Drosophila melanogaster: one gene and its partners. The protein of the gene in region 1 interacts with the protein of each later gene in a pairwise test. Each region holds a gene or a part of one and is shown in the gene's direction. Other genes may lie near its edges. The genes, in order: CG14641, CG46385, Flad1 and Lamtor4.

Region 1 (7,507 bases):
TTTTGTATTGGCCTTTATTTTTGTCGTAGCGTTGGTTTCTAGTTCAAACAGCGGCAGTTGCTCTTCCAGATTTAAGCAGAGTGTGTGGAAACTGCAAGTAAGAGAATCATCAGGGCAATAAGAGAAGGAAAGATGTTAATATTTTCGAACGAATCGCTGAGCACTGATGTTTAACCGCCAACAAGTACGCGTATGTTATATACAGCCACCCAGAAAACAACGTCTTTAAATAATAATAATTGTCTTCAACAATAAGAGCTTCCCCAAACTCGTTTAAGCTAAACTTCCTGATGGATTTCTTAAATGTGAGTTGTAGAATGCTAAATGATACTTAATATTTCCCGAAAAGTTGTTCTGCTCACCAGCTCCTCTCTTGTATGATATCATGTTTGTATCTCGAGTGCGCTGCTTGATCAGAGCATAATGTTAAGGAGAGCAAAAAAAAAGTGCCGCAAGCGTGTAATCGCATATTGTCATTCAGTTAATTAGTTTCACCTGCGTATGAGATCACGACTGTTTTCGTCAAGCGGCAAGCCCATTTGGCCCTTCCTTGCAACTGGGTCACAGCCAAAAAAAAAGAAATCAGTTTTTATTGAGAACTCAGTATGGGATGGAATCATATAAGATTTTTAAATTATGTCGGCAAGCACATTAGTTCCAATTTGTAAAGGCTTGGGAGCCAGTCAGGAGTACGTCATACGTACTTCGAAATGATACCTATTTGAAATGAAAGTGATGGGCCACAGCATGTTCGGAATAATATTCCGAAGCCGGCCATAAGTTGGACCAGCTTGAATTGGTTGGATAAAGGCAGTTACCCATTTTCCAGTGCCAAAATCATACAAACGGATTCTTGGACAAACCGCGCGCATGGGTAACATTTAAACATTCAAATGTGTATCCAATTATTCAAATCCAATCCAAATGCCAATGAAGTTGGGGATAATTTAACGGAGATAAATTAACCAAATTTTGTAGGTACCATCAATTTAATTTGATCATATTATACAGTGTTATGAATTTATTTTTTCAAGAACACACAGCTTGGTAAAAAGCTAGTGGCTTATCTAATATAAAACCGACCTCAGTTCCGATGATTGTTTTCAAAGCAGTAGATAAGACAAATCAACGACCAATTTAACGAAATGAACTCAGCAAAATAATAGCTTTGAAAGTTGTTAATGTCTATATAATCAGCCTTCAATTGAAATCATTTAGGCTAGTCTGAATTTTACTTTATACTAGAGTAACCTACTATTCTGGGCGATGTTATTACATATTGCTGATAAAACATCATTTAATTTTTGGGGCACACTTACTTGTAAGTCAATACGATCTGCGCAATTTCTCACGATCCCAGTGCGATGATTGAATAAAAGCGCTTCGAACGACAAGCATGCAGAGCTCTGCCTCAGACACTAAACGAAAGCCAAAGCTCGTCTTCGCTTTTATAATATTTTTCTTAAGCCCGAAACGCGCGCGCGTCCGGCCGAGATCGCTCTCTGGGGTTGCTGGGACGATTGATAAGCAAAGCTTCGTGCGATAAGCAGCAAACTGAACTTAAAACAGAGTGAAAATAAATTTAAAAGTTCCCAGAAAAGTATGTATGTATACTAATCTATTTATTACTATTTTAATTTGGTGGTGGTAGTGGTTTAGTAATCCGCAGCGGTGTTAGATAGGTAGTCGCGACGTCCTATGTTTGAAGCTTGCTTGTTCTGAACAGCCTCAAGTTTTGGGCACTCCGTGATGCGATGGCCCAGACCACCACAGTAGGTGCAGCCATGCGAGTCACCCAGGTCCAGGTGCTGGTGTTCGGTCTCAGGTGCCAGTTCGTCCAAGAAGTCCGGGACCTCTTGCTTGCCCTCGATTAGCAGGTGCTTCAGGTCGAGCAGAACCGACTGCTCGGTAGTCTTGTTTATCAGCGTCGTAGCCAATCCCTTAGTGTTGGAACGACCTGTGCGGCCAATACGATGCACATAGTTTTCAATATCGTCCGGCATGTCGTAGTTAATAACGTGTTGCACGTTAGGGAAGTCCAGGCCCTTCGATGCCACGTCGGTGGCCACCAGCACATCTTTTTTGCCCACGCGGTAAGCATCGACTGCCCGCGATCGTTCTTCCTGATCCTTTCCGCCGTGAATAGCCACCGCCTCCACGCCTTTCAACAGCAGATACTCATGTATGCAGTCTACATCCTGCTTCTTCTCAGCAAAAATGAGCACGGGCGGCGCGGTCTTCTGTAGGCAGTCCAGCAAATATACCACCTTTGCCTCTTGCTTAACGTACTCAACCTGTTGGGTGACGTTCATTGACGCAGCACCTGCGCGACCCACATTTATTGTGACAGGCTTCACGAGAGCTGATCGAGCAAAGTTCTGGATCTTTTTTGGCATGGTGGCAGAGAATAAAAGTGTCTGTCGCTGGCCTTTGAAGAAAGAGAATATCGTACGAACGTCCTCTTCAAATCCCATGTCAATCATGCGGTCAGCCTCGTCCATGCACAAGTACCGGCACATGTCCAGCGTAAGGATCTTCTTGTCCAGCATATCCATTAGACGACCAGGGGTCGCCACCACAATATGTACGCCGCGTGAGATGACGTCAAGGGCCTCGCTGACCGGCAAACCACCCATGGCCAGGCAGGAACGAATCTCAGGCATTCCGCATGCCTGGAGGTGCTTGCTGTAGTGTTGAATTATCTCGTGTGTTTGCTTGGCCAGTTCGCGGGACGGGCAAATGATCAGGCCGTAGGGGCCCTCGTTACGCTCAAAAGGCAGACTATACTCCTGTTCCAGGGCAAACATGATGACTGGCAGCACGAAGACAAGCGTTTTTCCAGACCCAGTGAAGGCTATTCCAATTAGGTCGCGGCCGGCTAGTACAGTGGGCAGGCCTTGCACTTGGATTGGGGTCGGGTTCTTAATGCCTTTGGCCGCTAAGCCGTTAAGTATACCTTTAGGGAACTTCATTTCCCGGAAGCTGCGAATTGGCGGGCTGGGGGTTTCTCCCTCCACTAGGATCCTCAACTCGTGGCGAACGGCCTCGCGCTCTTCCTCCGACATTTCCCGAATGTAACGCGGCGGTTTCCAAGCTGTTTTAATAGGCTGCTCGTACTGAATCCCCTTCGCCAACTCTGCCACACCCATAAGGGCCTTCTGCTGAGCAATGCTCTCCATAATCTTTTCCTCCTCTCGCAGCTGCTTTTCGACGGCACTCAACTTTTTGGCCTCGGCAATTTTCTTCAGTTCTGTGTGCTGGTCCAGCAGACTAATGTTGTACTTGCGTCCCCAGGTCTCGACATCGTGCGCACCCTGCGAGTCGTCTTCATTCTCATTCTCGCTTGACGACTTGGGCTGGGCCGTTTCCGAAACCAGTTGCACGATCCTGCCCAGCTTTATCATGTGCTGCTTCTTCCGCTCCTTCACCGGTACGTATGGCACGTAGTCCTCGTTGTCCAGGTCGCCTTCCTCCGAGGACTTAGACGACCTCCGATACCGCTTTACGTGCGCCATAGCATTCGATCTATATTTCTGATTTTTGTTTGTTTCGTTTTCGCCTAATTTGACTACAACAAAGGCCACCGTACGACGTTTTAAATTAGGCGAGCCCGAAAAATACTATATTCTAATGGGTATCGATTACAGTTATTAAACAGTGATTCCACTGACAGCTTCTTGCTTATGATATATTCATGGCATGCAGACCGGATAATAGTTTTTTTTTCAATTTGGGCAAAATCTTTCGATTTCGTTTTTAGGTGCTCTGGTTTTCTGAGTTTGAGATTGAGTCTTTCTTTTTTTGTGAAAACCAAGCAACGTGAAAAATGCAACTTTTAGCGCGAAGGTTGCCATACTGTTGGTGAAATATAACAGGCAGGTAAAAATACTTAGTAAATATATTTAAAGCAGGGCCAAAAGTGCTGTTCGTAAATAATGATAATTAATTGAATAACATAAGTGGTCAGAGCGCAGTGAATACGTAACTGCGAACATCGGAATTAAAAGTGCCAAAAACTCTGTGTAAATCGCCCAGAAACATTTTATATGAACTTATGCGTGCTATCAAAAGTGTTTCAGGAACATTTCTGTTAAACGGTTAGCGAACATGAATAGTACAGAATAGTAGAATATCGTATTGATCGGTTTCGGATCAGTCGAATGCAATATATTTTTGTGTGCATTTGGGTATAGATATATATTCTAAGCAGTGTGAATATGCTATTAAATTCAATAAATTATATCGATTGCTGACTTTGAACTAACTGTCTGCTTCTGGCTCAACTTATCGATATTGGTATATCACTCGCGACACACCACCATTTTCGACAAGTAGAAAGCGAATGAGCATTGTCTAAATTTAGCTCGGATTTTAAGTGCAAGGTACATAAGTGCCGCTGCTATGTCTATGTCAAAAACGACTAACACCTATAACCGGCAGAACTGGGAAGATGCTGAATTCCCAATTCTGTGCCAAACTTGCCTTGGCGACAATCCGTACGTGCGGATGATTAAAGAGCGGTTCGGCAAGGAATGCAAGATATGCACGCGTCCATTCACAATATTTCGATGGTGTCCTGGTGCTCGTATGCGCTTCAAAAAGACGGAGATATGTCAAACGTGTGCGCGCCTGAAGAACGTGTGTCAGACCTGCCTCTTGGACCTGGAGTACGGACTGCCGATTCAAGTACGAGATGCGGCGCTCAAAGTGGCTGACAATATGCCACAAAGCGACGTTAACAAGGAATACTACATCCAAAACATAGACGCCCAGCTGCAGGACGGAGATGGCACGGAGGCGGCAGGAGCTGTCGGTCGATCCCTCGCCGCCAACGAGATGTTGTCCAAGCTTGCGCGCACAGCACCCTATTACAAAAGAAATCGGCCGCACATCTGCTCCTTTTGGGTTAAGGGCGAGTGCAAGCGTGGAGAGGAGTGCCCATACCGCCACGACAAGCCCAACGAGCCGGACGATCCGCTATGTGAGCAAAACATCAAGGACAGGTACTACGGACGCAACGATCCTGTGGCCGAGAAGATCATGAAGCGTGCAGCCTCGCTTCCCACACTCGAGCCGCCGGAGGACCGCAACATCACAACTCTCTATGTGGGGAACCTTCCTGAAGAAATCACGGAACCCGAGCTGCGAGATCAGTTCTACCAGTTCGGCGAAATTCGATCAATTGCGCTGGTGCCACGCCAGCAGTGCGCTTTTGTGCAATACACCAAAAGAAACGCTGCCGAGCTGGCTGCTGAGCGGACCTTTAATAAACTGGTGATCCAGGGCCGGAAGGTGAGCATTAAGTGGGCTCACTCTCAGGCAAAGCAGGGCACCGCTGCAAAGACAGACAGACGCTTCGACTTGGCCGGCATTCCACCGCCTAGCGCGAAGCCCAACGACTACTTCAATCTTCGCCAAGAGCAAATCAATGTCATGCCCGCCGGCATGAAGCTGCATCAGTTGCCATCAAATCTAGTTCCGGCGTCGGCTTACCAAATGTATGGTCAGCCTACTTATGCAGCTCCCTACGGAAACGCCACTTCCACAGCCCTTTCTTCCTCGGGTGTCAATTTGGATTCCATATCGATTCCTCCGCCACCGGGTCAAGTACCGTATCCAAGTCAGGACGCCAGTCGGATGGGAGCTGTTAAAAAGTAGGAAAACCCTGTGGTCTACAATGGTTCCAATTCAATAAATCATTTTTATAAAATTAAATACAAACTTTTTAAAGTGGTCAGTTCCATAAAAATGACTTAATATTAATAGAATTTATCCGTATGGACGAAATTGTTTTCGATTCGAATTGTTAAGAAAAAACACCAAACAATTAGAGAGGAGAAGATAATAATAAATGATTTAAACTCTAAAAAAAAAAAGAAAAAAAGAACAAATTTTCGTCACAAAAGCTTATATCAAAACTTTTGTACATATGTATGTTGATGTGCGTTCGTCACTCGTTTTTACCTTTAATAAATGCTTTTCTTTGATTTGGACGATATTTGGGATTAAAAAAAGTACACCAATGCACATGTACATATGTAAGTTCATTCTTCAGTATTTATAGGGGAACTTAACATTGGGATTATGACTACCTCCCTGCATTCCATTCATTCAGATTTCATCAGCTCATTACTGATCATTAAAAATCTCGATCAAATTAATCACAGGTTAATTTGTATTAAAAAAAAAAACCATGACCTGAACCTATGTTCTAGGAAATCATCGCATAGCGCAAAATCAAAATCACGCATAAGCGCTATAAATGATAGCTCAATTCATCTCTCTACACCTCTTTTTATTCACTTAATCCTCTATCAATTTTAATGAAAAAGTGAAATTTCAGTCATTTATTAATAAAAATGTATTTTCTTAATTAGACTTATTTAAATTATGCATAGGATTTAAATTTAAGAATACAAATACATATATATGTATGTGAAATTCCAGAGTCTTTGGCGTCCTGTCCTACGGAGTTAGGACCAGCTTCTTTTCAGTTCACATGTCCGATTTACCTTAAGGTAAAATAATGTATAATTATGTATACAAAAACGAGTTAAACCAATTTACCTTAAATTATCGTTTCTGTGAGTAGTGTTTGTTGCTTATTGTAAAATAAATCCATTACCTGTAATTATTATTGAATTAAATTCCAAAATATTTACAATTTTTTTTTAAAACAAGCACTCAAAATCGCGTCTACTTCTCACAAAAGTCTATAGGCAAGTGATCTGCAAACATGTTCTATGTACATTACAAATTTAAAATTTAAATTTAAATTTGCAATTAAATAAAAAATCGCATACTGAGACCTTCGGTTAGAAATTAAAAAGCGATGAATTTGTTTTCAAAATCATCGCTTATTCCTCGTTATGATTAAGAACATTAGCATCGCTTTAAAATTTTAAGAGAGAGATGATGTAATATTTTTTAATAGCGATGAATTGTGGGACTACAGGGTAGGTAAAGGTTACATATGTACAGGTGCGAGCAGTGCAAATATGTTTATTCTAATGAAATCTTAGACTAACTGTAAATTATATAATGGCTATATTTCTTTTACCCGTCACTCTTACTCTTCTTTACTTCCAGAAAGGGGGTTTTGTCTTAGCTAAACATATGATTAATGTATTCTATGTTTTTTCAATATTCATTCCAATATACAATTTTACAATTAATGGTTTTGCAACAGCTATTTTGAAGTTAATTATTGCTTGTTTTGTAGTTTTTACCGATAAATCACACGTGTGCAAGCGATCGCTTATTAAAACAGTAATAAGTAATAATATTTAAAGTAACGACCAAACGATTGGGAATAATCTTTCCAGCGATTTAAACCTTGAAATAAAAAGTAAGTGTCATCCCCGTATGATTATGCGCACATTCGCAGGGCGACGCGTGCACCTAGGCGAGAGTTTTAAAACTTGTTCAGCGGATCTTGATCATTACATTCTCAAGTCTGTCGTACAGCACGTTTAAGCCCGCTGATAGTAAATCAGAGCAATGGCAA
Region 2 (8,316 bases), on another chromosome or scaffold:
TCTGTCGATCATCAGATGTGCGACAAGGTGTGACAAATACACATTCTAGAATGGCAATTTTGAAATAGGACGATGGTGCGGAATAAAGAGTTGGGAATTCAAAATGTATTTCTACGCCACGTTTCGTTTGCATTCCACTTTTGTTGGCCATTCGCGTATTTACATGCCTACATATGTGCATACGTACATACGGGCGTACAATCGTACATGCATACCGTATCTAAATGTACGCTTCTAAATGCCCATGTTTGCATATTCATAAACAGCTGCCATTCCGTTCAAATGACATTGAGTGAATTATTTCGTACTTACAATTGGAACACATTTCCATGGGCAGTGATGTTTCATTTCCCTGCAGGCGAAAAAATATATGTTAAATGGGAAGTTTTAATATTTTGCAATGCCAAAAGAGGGAAAGAGAGGTGGGGGGTTGGAACGAAACGCAGAACGGAAGTTGGCTTTATAACGGTATAAGCTCCCACTCCCTATCTGCGCTCTCTACTTCTCACTTTCCCGCTCTCAGCCTCTTCCCCTCTTTCGTTTTTGCACTGGTTCTTCGCTTATTTTGGTGGCATTTTATTACCATTTTGGTTTTGCCTTTTGTGGTTCTCCTTGGATGCTATCTATAGAGTACAAATAAAGTTCGCTCTTTTCGCCGTTCCGCTCTTGGTTTTCCTCTAGTTTCCTTTAAAGTCCTACGCCGCGGGCTATCCTGCACATGCTACTGTGGTTTTTGGGCCGCTGAATTACGGTTTTGTTGTGGAAATATTCGGTTTTCTATTTTCTATTGTGCATGAGTTTTTCCACAGCAGCTTTTGGTGTGACCGCGGTTCGAGCGACAAAAAATACCTTGGTGGCCAAGGAAGAATACCAGAAAGCTTAGCGTTGGCAACGCGTTGACAGGGTTGTCAGCGTTTGTCACATTAATTTAAATTAGCGCGGTTTTTTAAAACAGAACATGTATTTATTTATTTATACTTTTAGTAATTGAACTGCATGACACTTCTTTAGTATGATCCAAAATTTCCATTCATATACTTGGTAATTTTCCTTCATTAGCAATCTTAAGTGTAAGTGCTCACAATTTACAGTTCTTATCTGTTTAAAATGTTTAATTATATCATGTAATCTGGGCTGGCTTAATCTAATGTTTTCTTATCGTGAATTCATTGTTGGCTTAATCTTATGTTTTCTTCTTGTCCATCGAAGATAGATGCATTTGTACGAGTATGTAATAAAGAAAAATAAAAACATATTCTGAATTTTGAATTTGTAATGATATATTTTCCCATTACTTAAGCTTAGTTAACTTAGCTTATTTAACAAGTAAACACGAGGAAACGCAGGTCAATATTTGAAACATTCGTTTGAAATACTACTGATACAAAATAATATCAAAACACTTTTCGAAAGTGTGCGCGTAACAGTTTTGAAAGGTTTGTGAATTATAGAGTGGGCGTGCCAATCTTACATAGCGTAGAATCTATGTACATACCCTCTAGCTTATATAGTTTTTTATTTGTTGATCGGGATGTTTATACGGACAATCGCTTCAAATGGTTACACATGCTTCTCAACGAATCAAGTATCAGGTGTAAAATCTTCATTTTCTGCAGCCCAACTTAGGAAAGTTACCCCAAGACAAATGTTTGTGGCTACGCCGCTGCATTTCGTTGGCTTCCCGCAGCAACATCAAACAACCATAGATACCATTTACTGCCCATCTGACATAATCTCTTGGTTAAACATTTCCCCAGCCAGTTGCCTGGCTTCCATCTCGATTCCATCTTCATTTCGCTGCCAACGAGCCAGCAGAACGGTCATGAGCCCAGGAATCGTTAGCCAGGAGGTAAACGGCCGCCAGGAGCCAACAGAAGCTGCGAGGGACGAGAGACATGGACGACGGCGCCGGGTGGCGGTTATTGGAGCAGGACTTGTGAGTGTAACAAAGTTATTTGAAGTATACAATTATTACTCTGCGAAAGCATAAATAGATTGTGGGTCTATAAATATAGCGAATGAAATTTAGTGTTAATCATTAACAAAATAATATATAGTCTATATTTAGAGTAGACCGTAGTACGGTTATAAACAGGCAATAATTCTAGTTAAGCTTCATAATATCTAAAACTAAGCTTTGCTAATTTGCTAAAATACACATCATAGTAGTAGAATTATAGAATTCGAATTCTTTTCGAATCATTCCTAAGTAATCTTTAAATTATGCTGCATTTTGATGTGTCTTCACATATGTAGTTAGATGCGTTATCTTTAGTGTTTTTAAATCCCTGCTTCCAGATATAAGGCTCTTATCACGCTTTCTACGCATCTTATTCTCCATAACACTAGGTGGGTTCTCTGGCAGCCTTGAACTTTGCCCGCATGGGCAACCACGTGGATTTGTACGAGTACCGGGAGGATATCCGCGAGGCCCTAGTGGTTCAGGGCAGGAGTATTAACCTGGCTCTTTCGCAGCGTGGCCGTAAGGCGCTGGCCGCCGTGGGTCTGGAGCAAGAGGTGCTGGCCACCGCCATACCCATGCGAGGCAGAATGCTCCACGATGTGCGAGGAAACTCCAGTGTGGTCCTATACGATCCCATTAACAATCAATGCCTGTACTCCGTGGGACGTCGACAGCTGAACGAAGTCCTTTTGAATGCCTGCGATAAGCTGCCCAATATACGCTGCCACTTCGAGCACAAGCTGACAAGTGCCAATCTGCGAGAGGGATCCATGGAGTTCCGCAATCCCGCCAAGGAAGCCGTAGCTGCCCATGCTGATCTTATAGTCGGCTGCGATGGTGCCTTCAGTAGTGTGCGCCAGCACTTGGTCCGTTTGCCGGGCTTCAACTACTCCCAGGAGTACATAGAAACGGGGTATCTGGAGCTCTGCATACCCTCGAAATCGGGAGACTTCCAGATGCCTGCCAACTATCTGCACATATGGCCGCGTAACACCTTCATGATGATTGCCCTGCCGAATCAGGATAAGTCTTTCACGGTCACGCTGTCCATGCCCTTTGAGATCTTCGCTGGCATTCAGAATCAAAACGATCTCCTGGAATTCTTTAAGCTGAACTTCCGGGACGCACTGCCACTGATTGGAGAGCAACAGCTCATAAAGGACTTCTTCAAGACCAGGCCACAGTTTCTGGTGTCCATCAAGTGCCGGCCGTATCATTATGCGGATAAGGCACTGATCCTGGGCGATGCCGCCCATGCGATGGTTCCGTACTACGGCCAGGGTATGAATGCTGGAATGGAGGATGTCACGCTGCTCACCGACATTTTGGCCAAGCAGCTGCCACTGGACGAGACGTTGGCCCTGTTCACCGAATCCCGCTGGCAGGACGCCTTCGCCATTTGCGACCTGGCCATGTACAATTATGTGGAGGTGGGTTTTTGGAACTAGAATTTATATAGTTTCAAATTATATTTCATTCTTTTTTCTCTACCTTGCAGATGCGAGACCTGACCAAACGTTGGACATTCCGGCTGGACCTACTACTCAAAAGCTCTAAAAGCTTTTCTTCGCCGAAGGTAGAAAGACATGGATGGTTTCGAGTATTTAAAGAGGGGGAGCTTAGTATGGTCAGAGAGCGAGAGAGACAGCGAGCTGCTCATTTCCGACTTAATTGTTGTTGCTAATTCCGTTTCGCGAACTTTTCGATGGCACTCTCTAGAATTGTCGGCGCCTCCGCTTTGCCCACACTCACTACAGTGGAACGTCGACGAGAATAAGATTTATATGATATGCAGTTAATCACGTACATAATCCTCTTACAAAATGGCGTGTACATAAAACTTAAGGTATGAAAACGTATTTAAACTCTAGAAACTTCCAGATAGTGACAAACCATTATTTACTAATGTTAATTATACAATGAACGGTGCCGAATGTCTTGTTTATGGTTTTGTATTCAACTAGCGTAAAATGTATCGAACGTTAATAGAGATTAGACTTTAAGAACGTTGAAAATTAACCTATTAATGGAATCGAATAATAACTCTTATTTTTCTGAACCCAATAGCTGTGAAATAAAAATATACATATGTATGTGTTTTAGCCACTTTTTATTTAAAACAAATGGCCAGTGATTTCAATGAGTGCCCTTTCTAAGTGAAAGTACTTTTAGGCAGGCCTTACTGTACCCACTGTACCGCTGCCGCCGTCGCGCGTCTTCGCCTGGCCGGCGGACCAATGGAGCAGGCCAGCGCCATCAGTTGCTCGTCACATGTTCGACACTCAAGTAGACCAAACACAGGGAGCTGTACAGTGCCCACCGAGATCCGATCGAACGCAGAGCAGCCGTTAGACAGAATATTGACTTTAGCAACTCACCAGGAGTTCAGTTAAACTTGCACAAACTAAAAATTCCCATAATCCAACCGGAATATCGCTCTTTTTAGGCAGGTGCAAGTGCAACTTTGTTCAGCCCTTTTTGCTGTTAAATCGAAAAACCACATTCTCGAAGCTTTTGGGCAAGCTTCCGCAAAACGAAACGATCGAAACGCGTGGTCCGAAAGCAACGAAGCAAATACGGCAACAGGCGAGCGAAAAAGTGAAATTGAAATAATTCCAAATCAAAAATCAAATTCCAAATCGAAAATCGCAAATCACAAAGTTGGAAGTTGAGTGAGCGAACGCGTGTGTTTGTGTTTGTGCGTAAGTGTCCCTCAGTGTGTGCAGTGCAACGGTATCGTAAGACGAAAAGTAACGGTAACCGAGCAATTGGGGTGTAAGCTGTCAGAATCTGTGCGCAGAGAAAACCGAAAGTTTTGGCTTGTTACCTTGCCGTAGTAATCCAAAATCAAAACCGAATACCGGATTCACCGATCGCCATCCTGGCCCGCCCTTCGACTTTAGTTTAAGGCGCTCTGCCAGCGGTTCGCCGGAACGGTAAACTCCCCCCACACCCTGCTGCCCGTCGTCGTTAGCATACCGATACCGATAGACCACCGCCGATAGCGATACTTTGGAAATTCAGCAATCCGTGCCCCACTTTAGCTAGGATTCTGTTCGGTTTTAACCCTACGAAGAAGGAGCACCCGGCGGCGGAACCCGAAGCCGTTCTGCGTAATTTTGGATAATGCGCGACTAGGCACGAGCTGTCCGAATTGTTCAGGTAAATACATTCGTACATATATATGCATATAGGTGCACACACAATCACCGTTATTGATCTCGCTCAATTAGTGGGTCTACGTGACTGCAGCGCCGATTCTCAGGGTCCGGGGTATTCGCAGATCGCATCGTGCCGCATGGTGTTGTATTCTGTTCTGCCTATAATGAAAAGCAAACCAGAAATGCGGATAACAATCTAGGCACACACCACAGCATACACCTTTCCCTCCATCTTCCCCTTCCACCCCCCTGCTCATCACTTTTGGGTCTCGGTTAGTCTTGGCATCTGGCATTTCCGGTTTCGCTATTTTTTGTCGGTGTAGATATGTATGTATGTACAATATGTAGATGAAAACACCTTCAGATATTATTCAACCCGAAATCCTCTCAAAGTGGTTTGGTTTCCTATATTTTCATTGCAGTACATATTTTGAGTACATATGTACATACATACTTAATGCAAAAAAAATAACTTAAAACTAGAATTCGAAACCAAAATTTTGCATTTAAAGATGAAACATCAATTTGTATATTTGGTGCATTTTTGTTGTTCTTAAAATAAACAATTTAATCAATCTTTTTCTTACATTTAAATATAAAACGTTTGTACTCTCTTGAATAAATAAACTTCGTAGAACACTTGCTGTGGGCAAAAGTTCAATAACAATGCAATTTAACGCACGTGGGAACCCCAAATGTTGTTATTAGTATTTATTTGACACAAAAACTAATATGTTAGCTCGTTAGACAAGAATAATTATCGTCGTTCTTACGTTCATCCATCACTTTTGGGTTCAAGAACGGTTAGTGTTCGATAATTCTGGAAAAGCACTTAACTGATTTGAAAGAGATCAGTTTGAATTTCTCTCATTGCGATTGAGTCATAAAGTCTGGTAAATAACAATAAGAGTAGCCCGAGAACTGTTTTATTTCTATACCCTTACAGAGGGTATCGTAACTATTCTCATAAATTCATTGGATTGGTTCTGACCCATTTGTACATACAATTTACATACTTACATATATCCATATCCTATTGCTACTGATAAACTTCAGTAGATGCTAGCGAATTTTGAACTTAAGGCGATTTAAAGAGTATAAAATATTTAGACGGATTTCGCGCACTTTTAAAGAGTTTAATGAGCAATCTTAGCAGTTTATGGGGAGTCAAAGTTATTGATCTTGTGGTCAGTTTAGCAATCATCACACATTTACTCGGCGACTCGGTGTCGAAAGGAAGAGCAAGGGGAAAAAATAAAGCATTCCGATACGAAAACTTACATCATCGGTCTGGGGGATAGAATGAGATGGAGGGATCAAAAGAGGGAGAACCAAATGGCAAGCATTTACATACCAACAAACATGGCACAACGGCATATGTACATACATATGTACGTATGTATGTACATGTTTTTATATATTATGCGCTATTTTTCGGCTTTTTGTTTTTGCTTTTTCGAATGAACGCAAGAAATAAGTAATACGAATTGCGCGTTTGAAAATGGTGGAGACTTTTATACTTTTAGCTCCTTTAGGAACCCACAGCAGTTAATCAAAAACAAAATGTGTGATAAAGACTCACAAAAAAAAGGGGTGGATGGGCACATGTGAGGAATACGCTTTCATAAGTGATTTTGGCTTCATTAAAATAAATCAAATGCATTTAGTACAAATAAGCAAAGTCTCGAACGGAATGGCGAAAACAATTGTTCGAGAAAGCAAATAACCAATAACTAATTTTGTTTCTTCCCCTTTCTCTTTTCTCTCTTTACATGGTGATCGCTGCCGCTCTCTCCCTCTCTCACTTGCTTATCTTGCGGTAAATGTCATCCAAACCAAAAGGGGTAGCAAAACGAAGAACAGCAATTTCGCCGAAAAGACGCAGTTAAAAAAAAGTGTTAGCAAGTGAGAAACAACATTCGTGAATTTCGTGATTAAAAACATTTCAAAAGGTGTACAACAAAAGCTCATTTAATATAAAAATAAAAAGAACGTAAGCGAAATATACAAAATATAATATCGCAGCGCGCCAACAACAAAACGTGGCACCACAAACTAAAAACACAAAAAAAGCTCAACGAAAACGAGAGCGAATGCGCGAGCGCGAGTGAGAGGGCCAGATAAGCGGAGACAAGAGCGACAACAACAAAACACAAGCGCAAGCACGATCCAAAAGCCAATTGCGCACGGAACGTAGAACGCAGAGAACTAACGGAACTGTAGAAGCGCAGCACGGATAACAGTTAACAGGGGCAATCCAAAAATGGTAAACAAGAAGGCGGACAAGGACAAGGAGAGGCAGCAAGAGGCAATGTTGCCGGCGGCGGGCAAGAATAGCAGCAACATTGAAAACAGCAGCAAACTTAGCAACAACAACAACTACAACAACAACAAAACAAACAAGGGCCAATCCACAAAGCCTAACAGCAATAACAACAGCGGCAACAACAAAAAGAATGCAGGCAAAGGAAATCAGCAGCAGTCGCAGCGCAGCGGCAAGAAAGCGAAGCCGCAACGCCAACAGATATTCCTACAGTCGCTGCCACGCGACAGCAGCAACTACAGAAGCAACAGCTTCAGGAACAGCATCGACATAAACAGCAACAGCAGCAACATGAGCAGCAAGAGCAGCAGCAACATGAGCAGCAACAGCAGCAACATCTCGGACACATTGGCAACATTGGACAGTGGAGTGGGAAAAATTAATCCCGCTGAACTGCTGACAGCCGCCTTGGCCGTGCCCTGTGCCAAATGCTCCAAGCCATCGATGATCTCCGGCCTGACCACCGCCGTAACCGCATCCACAGTCCCCGCATCCGCATCCAGCTCTTCCGCTTCTGCCTCCTCCTTTTCGTCGTCGTCAACCAGTTCCGGATCGGAGACCGCCAGCAATCACAGCGATCTCCATTACCCGGAGCCGGTTGTCTACTCCGCCAAGCAGTATCGCAAGTCCAAGTCCTACATGGGCGTATCCCAGTACAACAGCTCACAAAATGGCCATCAAGCGGGTCGGGCGCCCAATACCGCTGGCGGTGGTAATGGCAACCACGTGGCCTATAGACGCTCCCACAGCGACCGACGCAACTCGTTCGATCGCAGCTTCGCCGAAAGGAATCGTGACTTTGTGCCCATCGTCCCACCGCCGCGTCCGGTCCTGTCCTCCTCCAACATCGCCGGAGTCATGGCCAGCAC
Region 3 (8,068 bases), on another chromosome or scaffold:
GGCATTTGAATTGCTTAGCTTATACAATTTTATTGCAGCTGTTGTTCGCCGTTGAGTTTTTCGATATGCGGTAATCGCGGAGTCATCGGGGTATATCGAAATAGTCGCAAAGTTGTCGATATAATTTTAGTAACCGTTGAAATGTGCAAAAAATACAATTAAAGAGAAATAAACACTTCGATTACGATCACCTTGAGTTTATAGGATTAGTAAATAGTATGAAAAATTGTGTGATCTTTTGATTATCTTTGGGAAATTTCATTATTCGGCGAATAAATATCAATATAAATATATTATTTCTGGTTAGTGTATATAGATGCTGCTCTGTACACCTTTACATTCGATTTATTCAGATGTGCTCCATTGCAATATCCTGCTAATTATGTTTCAGTGTAGATCTTGCTGCCTTTCAGCGGTGTAGGGTATTCGCTGTTCGTGAGACTCAGCGATTGCCACTTGTTGTTGCTGCTGTTTTGTGCCAGCATAAAGTGTTTGCGCTGCAGCTTTTGTTGCTATTTGCTATTTGCAGTTTGCAATTTGCAATTTGCGCGCAGTTTTGGTTGCGCGTTTGCTGCGAGCAGTTGCACTTGCACTTGCAATTCTATTGCCGCGCCCCCTCCCCTTTTTTTCTGTGTCGCCCCCTTTGTTTTGTTTTGCCTCTTTTCGTTCGCGCCCCCCGCCATCTGCACCGTCTGCAGAGCAGCGCTCCTGGAATAACTGCATGTGCGATTCACCGTTCTAGTTGGCGGCGTGCGTGCGTGTGCGAGCGAGCGAGACAGACAGAGGCATGTGCTGGGTCGCAATGGCGCGCAAGGACGATCCCGTTTTCAATGTGCGGTTCGTGCAGTTCGTGGAGAATCAGCCGTGCCTGTGGAACTACACGCATCCGGGCTACAGCAAGAAGGAGGATGTGCAGAGGGCGTGGCAGCAGGTTGCCAACGATATCAAGGACACGGGTAAAAAGGCGGTAAAAAATAAATCGGCAAAAGGCAACGGCGATTTTCCGCCTCAAGCTGCTGCTTCTTCCTCTTCTTCTTCTTCGCCGCCAATTGCGTGCTCATTTCACTGTCCGTGTGCGCGCGCGCCTGTGTGTGTGTGTGTGTGTCTGTGCGTGTGTGTGTCTATGATGCAAGCTTTCGCGAATTGGTGTGCGAAACGAATGCACTTGTTGTTGTTTTCCATTTGCCTGGCTTTGCATTGGTGTAGGTGTGTCACTGTGTCGCGCAGTTTTTGCCTGCAATTTGTTGCTGCTTTTGCGTTTCGCTTTTCGTTTACTGTTGCTGCACTCAGCCAAGGTGCACTGGAAAAAAACCAAGTACTATTCGTACAACTAAATTCCCATAATAAATTCAAAATAAATACAAAATAAAAGTATTTAAACTACAAAATATTCCATGTTACAAACAAGTATAAATCCAAGAATTGAGTTTGATGTGCAAATCAACTCAGTACTGTGGTTACCTTTTGGTGAACAAGTTTCAATTTGTACCGTAGAAATTTGTACTGTAAAAGATGTGTTTTGTTTCTCCTGCAGTTCGCAACTGTCGCGAGCGATGGCGCACCATAAGGAGCAGCTTCCTGCGATCCCTGAAGCTGGCACGCACACAAACGGGACGCGGCAAGCGCAAATACTACCTATCGAAGTATCTTCAGTTTCTCGTTCCGTTCACCAAGTCGCGATCCTGCCACAAGCAGCTGCCGGGCATGGTGCTCCGCAAACCCGGCCAAGCTGCCACTGCTCAGCAGGAAGATGAGGTGGTGGCGGCGGAGGAGGAGGCCAAGGTGAGCGATGGTGAGATGCCGCTGGACGTTCAGGTGTCCGAGGAGGAGCATCGTCGTAATCAGGAACAGGATCGGGAGCAACCCACCGCCTGTTTGCCGCTCCGCCTGCATTCCATCAAAGTGGAGCACGATTCGTCAAATGCGAACCAGCAGCTGGAGCGGATGGTGAGCCAGCAGTCGCTGGTCTCGGTGCCCGCCGCCGCGCTGGGCAATCACCTGGGCTGGTCGGATCTGACGCAGTGGTTCAAGGGACATGGCAGCGGTCATCACAAGTTAACCACAACAACAACAACACCAACATCACCACCACCGCCGCCGCAGCCGGCTACGTCAGCTCTAAGTGTTTTCACTGGCGGACCAGGAGGAGGTGGCTCACAACCGGATGCCGACTACTCCTTTCTGATCAGCCTGCATCCGTACATCAAGGAGATGAACGGCAAGCAGAATCGAAAGTTTCGACAGAAGGTCGTCGGACTCATCGACGATATTCTGGATAACAAGGATGTCTAATTTGTACACGGAAAAAAAACCGAAGATGCTTACGTTTCAGCGATGAAAATTACGATTTGTAAACGGCTCTATCAAAATTACCACACACAAGAGATGCATATTTTGAATGATTGTGCGGAAATATTCTACATACCAAATGCAACATTATTTCAAAACCAACATTTTCACCACTTTCAGATTTCATTCTGGCCATCATATTGCTAACTTTTAGACAATGAACTTAGTTTTTAAATATTTATGTCTAAGTTAAGTGTGAACGTACATGAAATTTATATCGAAGTTTATATGCACTGCATCGAAATTTGTAAAGCGCCCAGTGGAACAGGATGAAATCACCAGTTATGTGATATTTTCTCTCCGTGAAGAAAAAAAGCCACAAGAATCGAAGAAAACACACCCAGTTGATAGAAAACGCCAACAGTGCCCATTTATTAGATGTGTAGAGCGTACTTTAATTACGCTTTTTATTGTTGTTGTTAAGCACACACACAAACACGAATTTGTTATTGTCGAATAAAACATTTAAACTACGAACATTTTATTTTACTTCAGACGGAACAGAAACAAAATTTGCGTATATATGTCGCATTTGCTGGCGATATGCGAAATTGCGGATTAAAATCAAAACGAAACTTTCAAAATTATTTAATGTATAAATTTCTAGCTTTTTTTTTGAATTTCTAGCTAGCCAACCGCCTTAATCGAGTGCAATCGATAGATTCAGCGCACAGCTGATGCACCGATAGTACGCAAAGCTTCCTGGCTTTGTTGTTGTTGTTGTCGCCGTTCGCTTGTTGTTGCACTAAAAAGACGAAAAAAGGAAGGAAAATCACTGGCGCGGAATAACAATTAACAAAATGGAATAATTGCATTGCTGTCGCCGTAACTCATCAGTTAAATGTGCGCCAGTAAACAGTCGATGCAGCAACGAAACACATGAGCTATTGGGTGAGCTATGCGCGTGTGTGCGTGCGCCATGTGTTTGGCCTGCATGCGTGTGTGTGCGTGTGCGTGTGAGGGCCTGAGGTTTTGGCTTTATATCACTTTTTTTTTGTTTTTGCTGACTTTTCCGATACGAAAGTGATGTAATTTTTGGCTGGCCACAAATAAGCCAACTCACTCGCACGTCAACCGCCGAAGCATTTACCACGCTCATCGCACAGTTAAAGTTTGTTTATGGGCCTAGAAAATTACATAAAGTAAATACTTACACACACACACACACACGCAAAAAAAAGATATTTTTCGGCGAAAGTTTTTTTTATGTTTTATTTATTGAGTGCTAATAGTTGCTCTTTTGACTTTAACAGCGTGTGACGTCATCGTTTTTGCTAGCCAGGGCACGGCCACGCCTCCCACAAACATTACGCCCACTGAGCACCATGAACGAATGCCGGAAGAACATCACAAACATCACAAACATTACAGCGAACAACAGCATTCTATGCGCAAAGAGCATTAGCAAAAAGCATTTGTTTCTAGAGAAACGGAGCATGTCGGATCGTTCGGAGAACTCCAAGGATGTGGCAAAGGGACAGGATATATCAAATCCAATGGAACTAACAGCCGAGGATCGACTGGCCATTGAGGAGCGGCAAAATAAAGCGTTCGCCTTCTTCGCCGAAACCCTGCAAATCTACGGCGTCGAGGAGCTAATTTTCTGTTTCAACGGCGGCAAGGATTGCACCGTGCTGCTCGATCTCCTTATGCGTTACCTGCGCCAGGAGAACATCTCCAGCGGCGACATTCCCATGCTGTACATTAAATCCGGCGATTCGTTTCCGGAAATCGATGAGTTCGTCGAGCGTTGCGTACGCAACTACCGCGTCCAGTTGGTTCAGTACGAGGGTACGCTCAAGGAGGCACTCACCCACATGTCGTCGGACATGCCGCGGATCAAGGCCGTCTTCGTGGGCAGCCGCAACACGGATCCCTACTGCCAGCATCTGGCGCCCATGCAGGTGAAGCTGGTTAGGAATATAGCAATCAGGAGATAAATCATATTTAAATGTTTTGCACTGAAATGCTCAGGAGTTCGTAGGTTCAAGTGTGAAGAAAAGTTTCTTTCTCAAGAGTAGTAGATTGATTATAAAGCCAAGTTATCAAAGTCACAGCCTTAGTATCAAAATTATGCCATTGTTAATCTAGAAAAGTATGTGCCCTTTGCCAATATCACAGTGACAGTGGCATTTTCGAATGTCATGATTCCATTCCGCAGATAAGCGAGTTCTGTGGTTCACCACCTAACATAGAATTTATTCGAGTATTTTACAAAACCAAATGTATCCCGCTTATTTGAAAATCTCACAAGATCACAAAGATAATAATGAAGCTAGCTTGAAATAGTTTTGGAAAGTTCGAAACTGCTGTTTCCTATTAGGAAACCCCAAGTGCCTAGTGATGCTAATTTCGATTTTTTTTTTAGCCCACGGACAACGACTGGCCGCCGATGATGCGCCTGAATCCGCTGCTGGAGTGGAGCTACCACGACGTCTGGCACTACATCCACTTGAACTCGGTGCCCTATTGCAGCCTGTACGATCGGGGCTACACCTCGATCGGGAATCGTGCGAACACAGTGCCTAATCCGCACCTCCGACGCACCGATGCCGAGTGTGAATGTGGTTCTAATTCCGATGCCGTCTGCTCCTGCGATCTGGGTGGCTATCGGCCCGCCTGGGAGCTCCAGGATGCCACCATGGAGCGTGCTGGTCGCCTGCCCAGGAAGTAGGATTCCATTTGCGTGGCTATAGTGTAATTGAATAGCTTAAACTCCAGTTAGTCACGAAACTTTATATAGCTGTGTATATATATTAACGTGTGATCTGGATTTCGGTAAACAAACTTAATTTAGTAAAATTTTGTACGACCTAAGGTATGCCGCTGAATAAATGTGGCCTCTGTTAGCAGGCCACTTAAGCAGTATTCCTAGTTTTTATGGAGTATTTAAATTTTTAGTTGTTTAGTTGTTGAATGTTTCTTTCTAATTTTGCATAAAAGCTGAAGCAAGCTAAAAGAGCCAAAGAAACAGCACTGGCTTCAGTGCAAAATCTAGTGCTGCAGCAAGCTGGCTTTTAAAAGCTAGAAAAAGCTCAAGATGCCATGGTGCCACTGTTAAAACGCCAGCATGGCAGCACTAGATGGCCAGTCAGCTGTTTTGCCAGCTGATTTTCGCCGCATTTTCACAACATTACGCGATTCTTTGAACTTTTTTTGCTGTGATATTTTTACGAGATTTACGTAATCCTACGCGCCGATCATCACCAGCGAATCACCCACGCGAGAGCAGTGCACAATAAACCAGTATTTCCTCGCTCCGCGATGTCGCGATCCGCACAAGAAGCTGCGGCGCTGCTGCGGGGACTGCGGATCTTGTTGGAGGCGTGTGGGCGCGAGCATCTCGCCCACGGTCGTCATCTGTGGAGCAATTCAAGCATTCGTGAGCTAATCGCCGAGAATGTGGCGCACACACAGCAGCTGGTGAGAAGTTCCAGTCAAAATCCCACCGAGGAGCTGAAAAAACTGCAGCAAACTGTAAAAGAAACGGGCGAAAGGGGCTACGTGGTGGCCAAAGGTATTTGCTCGCTGCTGGAGACGAAAATCAAGATGTCCCGCGAGGAATCGGCCATCTCTGAGCCTGCACAAGTCTCCTCAATTCGTAAATCCACACCCACGGCACAAAATCCAGCAAGTTGGGACGCCGCCAACTTGGATATATCATCCATAACGCTGCAGGAGTTCGAGGAGATACTCTCGCGCCGGAACAAAGATCGTAGTGTTAGCTTGCGCACCCCGGCAACCAAAAGCAACCAGACCATGCCCAAAAAAGAAACGTCAACCAATCCGGGCATCATTACCCAGGACACGGAGTATGTAAACAATGTGCTGCGGTTTGTGGCGGGCGCCAAGGTGGAGGAGCAGCCACCAGATGCGCAGCCGAAGAAGAAGTCCGACCAGCCGGCCATTGAAGTGCCCGAACTGAGCAAGGTGGCCAAACAGCGCAAGGTTCCCTCCTCCCGGATAGGCAGAATGGCCTCCTTTGGCGGCCTGTTCGCCGGCCTGGGCCTGGGAACCCTCAACGAGCTGACCAAGGGTGCACTCGGCCTGGGCGGTTCGACCAGCATGCGAGAGGCGTTGCTCAGTCCCGCCAATGCTGAACGCATCGTGGACACGCTATGCAAGGTGAGAGGAGCTGCCCTGAAGATCGGACAAATCCTGAGCATACAAGATTCCAGCGTTGTGTCGCCGCAACTGGCCAAGGCGTTTGAGCGGGTGCGTCAGGCGGCGGACTATATGCCCGATTGGCAGGTCGAACGCGTGATGAACACCCAATTGGGTGCCGATTGGCGACAGCGTCTCAAGAGTTTCGAGGACAAACCCTTTGCGGCTGCCTCCATTGGCCAGGTGCATCGGGCAACGCTGAGCGATGGCATGGATGTGGCCATTAAGATCCAATATCCCGGTGTCGCCCAGAGCATCGAGAGCGACATTGACAATTTGGTGGGCATGCTGAAGGTGTGGGATGTCTTTCCACAGGGTTTCTTCATCGACAATGTGGTGCGCGTGGCCAAACGTGAGTTGCAATGGGAGGTGGACTATGATCGCGAGGCGGAATACACGGAGAAGTTTCGCGAAATGATCGCGCCCTATCCCGAGTACTATGTACCGCGTGTGGTGCGCGATCTGACCACGTCCAGCGTTCTGACCACCGAACTGGTGCCCGGTGTGCCGCTCGATAAGTGTTTCGATCTGAGGTAAGCTAATGATGCAAACGCACATGCATATAGTAATCAATGGGCTTCATTGAAAATTCACTTCCAGCTACGAGCATCGCCGCCACATAGCCGCATCCGTGCTGAAGCTCTGCCTGCGCGAGCTCTTCGAGATTGAGTGCATGCAGACGGATCCGAATTGGTCCAACTTTCTGTACGATGCGCCCAGTCGCCGGCTAATGCTGATCGACTTCGGTTCGACGCGCTTCTATAGGCATGAATTCATCCGCAACTATCGCCGGGTGATCATGAGCGCCGCCGAGAACAATCGTCAGGGCGTTTTGGAGATGTCGCGCGAAATGGGCTTCCTAACCGGCTACGAGACGAAGCAAATGGAGCAGGCGCACGTGGATGCGGTGATGATATTGGGCGAGATCTTTCGCTACGACGGTGATTTCGATTTCGGTCGACAGAATACCACCGAAAGATTGGCCGCCCTGGTGCCCACAATGGTGGCGCATCGATTGTGCCCGCCGCCCGAGGAGATATACTCCATTCATCGCAAGCTATCGGGCATTTTCCTGCTGTGCGCGCGTCTGAATGTGCGCATGAATTGCGTGCCCTTCTACAAGGACATCGTTCTGGGGAAGTTCAAGGACTAGTGAGCACAGCTCACCCCTCTTCCCTTGACCATTTTCTTTTTTTTTTTTTTTGTCCAATCCAATCCCAGTTGTAAACCATAAGTGCGCTTAATTTGTAAATGCGATTCGCTGCAAGATTACATATGTTAATTTCCCAACTAACGTGTTTATCCTTAACTGACTGGGTCAGGGTTAGTTGTCAATTGAATTGGAAACAAGTAGGTTTTGAGCAATCCCCAACAGCTAACACACACACACACACATTTTAGTTAAAAACCCCAACAATAAAACACTACACAAAAAAAATATATATACATTGTATCTAATGCAAAAAACATGAAGACATTTGTGAAGACCCAAAGCATGAAGAGGAAGAACGAGTTGTTTCACCATGATTGCGTCTCGGACATCGACGGATCCGTA
Region 4 (6,546 bases), on another chromosome or scaffold:
AAAACAATCAATTAGGCCCAAAAGTAGCTTCCAACTCCAAGGGAGCGCCATAAGTTTCCGTCTCCCCCCAAGATCATGATGGTGATGATGGGGCTTCGGATGGTTAGGATGGTCCGGATGGCTGGCATGTTGCCCAGTGGCATCGACACGACTTTGATTCTCTTTCCGCGCCGACTGGCAGGAGTTTTATGGCCTGCTTTGGCGAAATTTATGTTACATTTTTATAGTTCCAGTGTAAATTGACTTTTAAAATGCAAAAATTTATCATAGCAACGGGCTGCAGTATGCAGGGGGAAGTCCCGCGCCAACTTTAATTGCCTGCGCCCCGCAAGACGGTGGCAACTCTGGCGGAAGCTTCGAAAAGTCAAAAGAAAGCTCTGTGAATGGGACGATAAACATCTGCGCGGTTTCAAGAGGAAAACAACCCCCAAAATTGTTCGCCAAGGCTTTATTTATTGGAGAACGTTTAGATACTCTAAATCATAATTAATGATTGTAATATTTTACTAAGAAAACGATATACAACTTTAAAAAAGGAGATTCACAAGCTAGCTTGGCTATTTTAATCAACGTTTGGTCGGGGTCACCAATTGAAAGTCATTACTGAATATAAAGCTATTAAGCCATAAATTTAAAAAAAATATTTGGTTAGTCTAAGAATACTTTGATTTTTGAATTATCCTTACATGTACATATATTGTATAAACCACACGCTTTAGATAGCCAAAAAACTCAACGGCAGAGTATGAAACAAAACACAGTCGTAAAAGCTTTTCGCCGAGTCAAAACATTTTGCGGACCTTGGCACTCAACGTTGTTTTATCCATATAGTTTTTTTGATTAATTCGCTAGTGCAGTTTACGCCCCAAACCACAGGAAAAAGCTCCGGAAAAGTTTGGGTCGCGTGGGTGTTGCCCCTCCACCTTTTCGCGAGGTCTCCAAGTTCAATTGCATGACGAAACAGCCGCGGAACAGTTGCGTCGCTCCTTGATTAGCTGAATAAGCGGGAAAAATCCATAAATTGATTAAGTAAAACTCGGAAAACTAAAGTGAAATGCTGCTGCCAACGGTCAGCGGCCAATCCGCCGCAGGATGCAAATGGAAAAACTGCTGTCGCCGCAGCTGGGAAATGCTGATGGCGCCCGTATCGCCCAAGAACCTCAGGACCACGGCGCTCTTGACGAGCATCTACCAGTTGGTAAGTTCAAACATACATGTATATATAGTAGCGGATTATATAAGAGACTGGAGAATGGATATCTCAGGCGGGGCGCAGCGCACTGGCACGCAGGGAGATCCGGGAATCCCCGAGCAATCCACAATGTGCAGCCGCGGCCCCAAATACAAAAATTACGCACTGGATATGCAAAGCCATACCCCACTGGGCGCGCAAGGAGGCGTCGAAGGCGGCAATGGAACGCTCGCCCCCGCCTATCCCCGGAGAAGTCCAGGGGCGGAGCGAAGGAGACGCTCCTGCGGCGCAATGCGTCCGCACTTGAGTTTCGTGATCGGAAACGTGCCAGGACGAGCACCCTTTTTAAAGCTCTTCTCCTGAAATATATTGGGAGTTGTTGCGAAAGCTCCTAGAACCAGTTGGGAATTGTAGAAGCAGCTTTCTGGCTTCGTTCAGTTTGGTGAAAAATAAGGGTGGTAGCTTCAGCAGATCGCTGGGTTGTTCCGGTTTTCGCAAACACTTTTTGTTAAGTGAGATCCTAAACAGTCGCTTTTCTATATTCCCCAGTTAATCTCCCACTGCGCCCTTTTCCTGGTTCTCCTGGGACTGGCGCATGCCGAACAGATGTGCGAGGTGCTGGAGCTGGACATCTTGGACCAGAAGGACAATGGTTTCTACAACATGTCGCCCTTTCACAACGATCTTCGCCTGCAAACCGCTGCCCAATTGGCCGTCGCCACGGAGAATCTGCTCTACGTGATGGCTGGTATCGCGGGTACCTACGCCCTGAGTGCCATATTCCTGTTTTTCGGAGTCTTCAAAAATCGGCCGGGCCTAATCATACCCTGGCTGGTTGTGGAGTTCCTATTAATGATTGGTTTGGGGGCACTGGTCTTCATGCTGAGGGATACAAAAATCGTGCAATTGCTGGGTGGTCAAGTGCCCTACTGTAAGTTTGGATTTTTAGGCTTAAATTTTGAAGTAAATAATAACGAATTATCTTATATTTCAGTTATCATTTGCTACATCTTGATCTGCATGGATTACTGCAAGTGGTATGTGATGCATAGCTTCTACCAGAGTCTACGCACCATGAATAAGCTTCGAGAGATTGCCACTGTGGCCATACCATGTCCAGCTCCAGGAGCCGTAAGTTGGTATCAATATTTTGAAAACTTTAATAGTAACTTTCTTATACATTAGATACCCTATCGTTTCCAACGCGAGCACATGTATCTGGGCAGCAATGGATATAAGCACATTCTAACCGAGTCTCCCGATGGACAGTGTTAAACATGTACTGAAAGATTGGATATTTTTGGAACTTCCCATCAGGTGTCTTGATTGCAATTGCACTGCAAATTCTGTATTGCAAAACAGAGTGTGATATGGTTTTGGTAGAGATACTATTTTATATAGCCAACGGACATGGAGCGGCTTATTAGAAATGCAGAATCGGTTCAAAGCGTTCGGCGATTAAACTATAAACTATTTTTGTGTAGAAATAGCTCCCAAAGCACCTTAAAAAATAAAAAAAATAATAATAATATTTGGTCACTAACGCGACTCGAACTCGGAACTTCGAAGCGAAGGTCGCACTCTCTAACCCCTAGGCTACGGCAGCGAAACTCTCGGGATAGCCGAGATTGATTAAGCCCCAAAATCTTGAAACGAAAAACTTGTCTTAAATAAATTGGCGTTCATACAAATATGTATTGTAGCAACGAATTTTTTAAAGCTTAGTTTCTCAGTAGATTTACCACTACTTAACTATAATATGCCTTAAATTCTGTTGACTAGCAATATTTTAGGTATTTCTATTTTGTGGCACAGAACGAATATCAAATAAAAGTGCAAAATTGTAACATATCTAATGAACGTGTTTTTTATTATTTCCACACTTACTAATTTAATGTACATCAAGTTAGAAAAATGTTTGGAATATTCAGTTTTGGGTGCTTTTATTATTTGGCCTCAGCTACAGATGCACATTATCTAATAATATCTTTCTTGTCTTAGGATTATTTGTTCCACTAGCCTTTCCGGCCCTTTAGCTTCATAATTGGCGGTGGCAAAGTGGTTCCTACAGTGGTGGTGCTCAGAGTGCTGGCTCCCATTAGACTCATATCGTTATCCAGGCTGTCCATTACAAAGTCCACTACGGTTATATTGTTAGCGCCTTCAGAATCCCCCTTATCTGTGGGGATACTGATCTGAAACTGCAGCAAAACCACCAGATAAGTGACCATTGTGGTTAAGAGTCCTTTAAAGAGAGTCCTGTTCACATCAAAAAAGCCACCGCAGTTGATGGTCGATGGATTCATTTCGGTGGCTCGCAAAAACATATTTATCTCCGTCTGGGCATCCGAGTTCATCCAGTTAAGCTCCACCATGAGTAGTTTCTTCTGGAAATTGGTTCGCACATTAACCGAGGCATAATGTGCCTCATCGCAAATATAGAAGAGCAGTCCTATGTTCCACAAAGCCGTGATAGTCAGTCCTATGTCCTTGATGCCAAATCCCTCGGAGAGTTGCGACATTAGTCCATAAATCGAAAGGGTAATGATGAAGAACAAGTAGAGGCTCATGAAAACAAAGGTGTAGCACAGGGCATTTCCAGTATCACGGGTCAACTTGCTCAGTCGTAGCCACAGAACACGGTAGTCTGCCACCATGGCAGCGGGTCCAATGTGTTTCAGTGCCTTCTGGAACCGCTCCGCCAGAAGATGAGCCGTAATGCTCATGGCCTCGCAGATGAGGAACCACCAGGCACCCAGCATTGCAGTCAAGTTGTCCAGGATGCAGTAGGGCACCACCTGGTTAATGTTCAAATCCGACATGGTGACGTGCGTGATGACCACCGATAAAACCGAGAGAATTGGCAGCACGATGGCTATGTACACCGCCTTCTGTCGCAATTTCAGAGGCAAACTGTGCCCGGATATCTGGTAGTACAACACCTCAAAGTCATCCCAATCATTGAAGAGCTTTGCTATCTTCCTGGCCTCGTACCACAATATTGGTATAATCATAATGGGCAGGATGTTGACCAGAAAGAGGTATGCAATAACCGCCTCCTCGAAGGGTCCACTCAGGGAGCGCACAATGTGGATGCGGTTGTTGGCCACATAGCCTACATAGCACTGTAAAGCGGTTTTGGGTTACATAATGGTATCCATAGTCAATTTTGAAAAATGTTATGCAAACACCACACTCACCGCCAGGAGCACAAAGAAAACCACCGAGTAAATAAAGGAGGCGGAGTTCATTTCGAACTTGGCACGAGCAGGACCATGTCGCACGATGGGTAATACTCCAATAATCCTCAAGAACCAATTGATGGGATCTATGTTTCGGTAGAAAACACTCTGAAAGCAGCGAAATTCAGTTTTACAAAAATGGTTTTAACAGCGTAGCAATCCACAAACCGGCTTAAATTCCGGATTATTGGACGCCGTGCTGTCCGAGCTCTTTTTCCTATCCAACGGAGGAGCTTCGTAATCCGCATCCAATCGCTCCGCCAATCCAATGGAGTACTTGCGGACCCCGTACAAGTATGCCTGGGCATTAGCACTGTTCAGCGGTTTTGCATTGAGGAACACCGCGTCACCCTTCTTGCGTCGATAGTAGTTGGCCATTCCGGAGAGACTGTGTCCGGAATTTCCTTGTCCGTGGCCTTTTACCACTTTTTCGCCAGACGGACGCATTAGCCATGCACCTGCACACGCCCCCTTATCGACCACGCCCTCTGTTGACTTAGAGCCGGAGTTTTAGTTTCCTGTTGATGTGCGTTGTTTGTCTTTTGAATGAATTAACCTTAGCCCGGTGTCCCAATTTCGAATTTGTGTCAATGGCGCGCATGTGGCAATTTACAACACTGAAACCGGGCTGCCAGGCTACCGATTTGGTATCTAAATGGATCTAGTCCGGTCACACTGGTGGGTGTGGGTGCGAAAGATAAATAAATAAATATGTTGAAAATGGACAGGGAAAAGTTGATTGTGCCCAATCAAATTGGCTATCTGATACTAAAGGAAGATGGAGCAGTTCTGGAGTCCGGCGGAGATCTGAAGAACGATGAGCGCAGTGCAAATGTGATAATGGGATTACTAAATCTCACAGAGACGTGCGTTTTTAAACAAAGGATGAAGGAATTTTGTAATAATTACGCCTATATTGTAGCATCGACGAGTCCTTCATGCCGAGCAGCAGCTGCGAGAGGATCACCATCGATTACGAGCATCACTACTACAGCATCTGCATGTCCAACCGTAGAATATACATCATTAAGATCAGCAAATCGCAGAATGGCGTCACCACGACCACGAGCTCCTCCTCGTCGAACAGCGTGTATAACGATGCCAGCGATTCCGGGGCAGTGCTGGCTTGAAATCCGTCGTCGGATGTCCGACCCACTTGCAGATTCTGTTGGCAAGCAACCGGACAAAGACCCCACAATTGGCGCACTCCCATTATTTACCTAATCCTCCTCTTTATTTGTCAAAAAATACATCATCTGTGAGCTCTTGCTCGAAAATGCGCCTCGCTTCCTGGGTGACGTCCAGCAAGGTGGCCTTGCTATTGCACAGGATCACATAGTACTGCCTGTAGTTACAGCGCCGCTTCACAATCCAATAGTCATTGGTGGTCTTGACCTGAACTTCCTCGGCAGGAGCACTCTCCATTTCCGCCTTGCCACTGCCATTGGCCAAGTCCGCAATGATACTAAGCACATTGCGGGGCAGCCCTTGGGGCAGGTGCCTCTGAAAGTTCGTGTGGTGCTGCAGGCTTTGTTCGTTAATGAACAAGTACTTCGGCGCCGTTTCGCTGTTCCCGCTGGAGTTGTCCTGGCCTGCAGCACCCACCGCCTCCTTTGTCAACTCGCTGGATATGTCCCGGGCCAACGAAGTCAGTTGGGGAGCCATGTAGGCATGGAGATCGTCGTAGAGATCTTGTTTCGGCGCAACCTGGTCAGCTGACAAATGTGGAATGTTTCAAGTTGATTATTTTGGCTATTTAGTTCTAATCCTTAACATACCATTCAGAAACAGACACAGAGTTATGTGCAAAGCGCGGTAGATGAGCAAGTAGTAGGGTTTGGCCTCCTTGTCCAGTGTCACATAGACCTTCATTGGATGATCTTCCTCATTCACAGCGTCATGTTCATCTCCTGCGACCTTCTGACGACTTCTTACGAATCCGCCCACCTGGCATTCACTTATGCTTCGCTTTAGTGAAGGAGAAACTGCAATGGTGGAACTGCTGGCCTCGACTTTCAGCACGTGTTGCACGACATACGAGTGCACGCAGTGCAGATCCTCCGGGCTAAGTTTTCCGCCACAAAGGACCTGCTCCTGGTAGAGCATTATGCT

Evidence for each region.
Region 2: the proteins of CG14641 (region 1) and CG46385 interact in a two-hybrid assay, tested with the Drosophila melanogaster proteins (one large-scale study listed by BioGRID).
Region 3: the proteins of CG14641 (region 1) and Flad1 interact in a two-hybrid assay, tested with the Drosophila melanogaster proteins (one large-scale study listed by BioGRID).
Region 4: the proteins of CG14641 (region 1) and Lamtor4 interact in a two-hybrid assay, tested with the Drosophila melanogaster proteins (one large-scale study listed by BioGRID).

What each region holds. Positions count from the first base shown.
Region 1 is NT_033777.3:4,229,137-4,236,643, reverse strand, and holds CG14641 (uncharacterized protein), read left to right. Parts: upstream 1-4,301; 5' UTR 4,302-4,401; coding exon 4,402-5,658; 3' UTR 5,659-5,865; downstream 5,866-7,507. Other genes in the region: abs (abstrakt), read right to left, coding at 1,656-3,515; DhpD (dihydropterin deaminase), read left to right, coding at 7,501-7,507.
Region 2 is NT_033778.4:7,778,536-7,786,851, reverse strand, and holds the start of CG46385 (uncharacterized protein), read left to right. Parts: upstream 1-4,214; 5' UTR 4,215-5,125; intron 5,126-6,966; 5' UTR 6,967-7,387; coding exon 7,388-8,316. Other genes in the region: CanB2 (calcineurin B2), read right to left, coding at 313-352, 584-586.
Region 3 is NC_004354.4:12,898,501-12,906,568, reverse strand, and holds Flad1 (flavin adenine dinucleotide synthetase 1), read left to right. Parts: upstream 1-3,052; 5' UTR 3,053-3,228; coding exon 3,229-3,240; intron 3,241-3,406; exon of another isoform or gene 3,407-3,491; intron 3,492-3,602; coding exon 3,603-4,253; intron 4,254-4,717; coding exon 4,718-5,023; 3' UTR 5,024-5,216; downstream 5,217-8,068. Other genes in the region: CG4404 (uncharacterized protein), read left to right, coding at 788-956, 1,535-2,292; Coq8 (coenzyme Q8), read left to right, coding at 5,614-7,046, 7,114-7,666; CG32650 (uncharacterized protein), read left to right, coding at 7,982-8,068.
Region 4 is NT_037436.4:3,891,792-3,898,337, forward strand, and holds Lamtor4 (late endosomal/lysosomal adaptor, MAPK and MTOR activator 4), read left to right. Parts: upstream 1-5,108; 5' UTR 5,109-5,145; coding exon 5,146-5,300; intron 5,301-5,356; coding exon 5,357-5,564; downstream 5,565-6,546. Other genes in the region: Fie (fire exit), read left to right, coding at 1,055-1,198, 1,742-2,123, 2,187-2,323, 2,378-2,467; Gr63a (gustatory receptor 63a), read right to left, coding at 3,208-4,317, 4,393-4,542, 4,603-4,812; Ccz1 (Caffeine, calcium, zinc sensitivity 1), read right to left, coding at 5,668-6,149, 6,213-6,546. UniProt on the Drosophila melanogaster protein: Regulator of the TOR pathway, a signaling cascade that promotes cell growth in response to growth factors, energy levels, and amino acids. As part of the Ragulator complex, may activate the TOR signaling cascade in response to amino acids.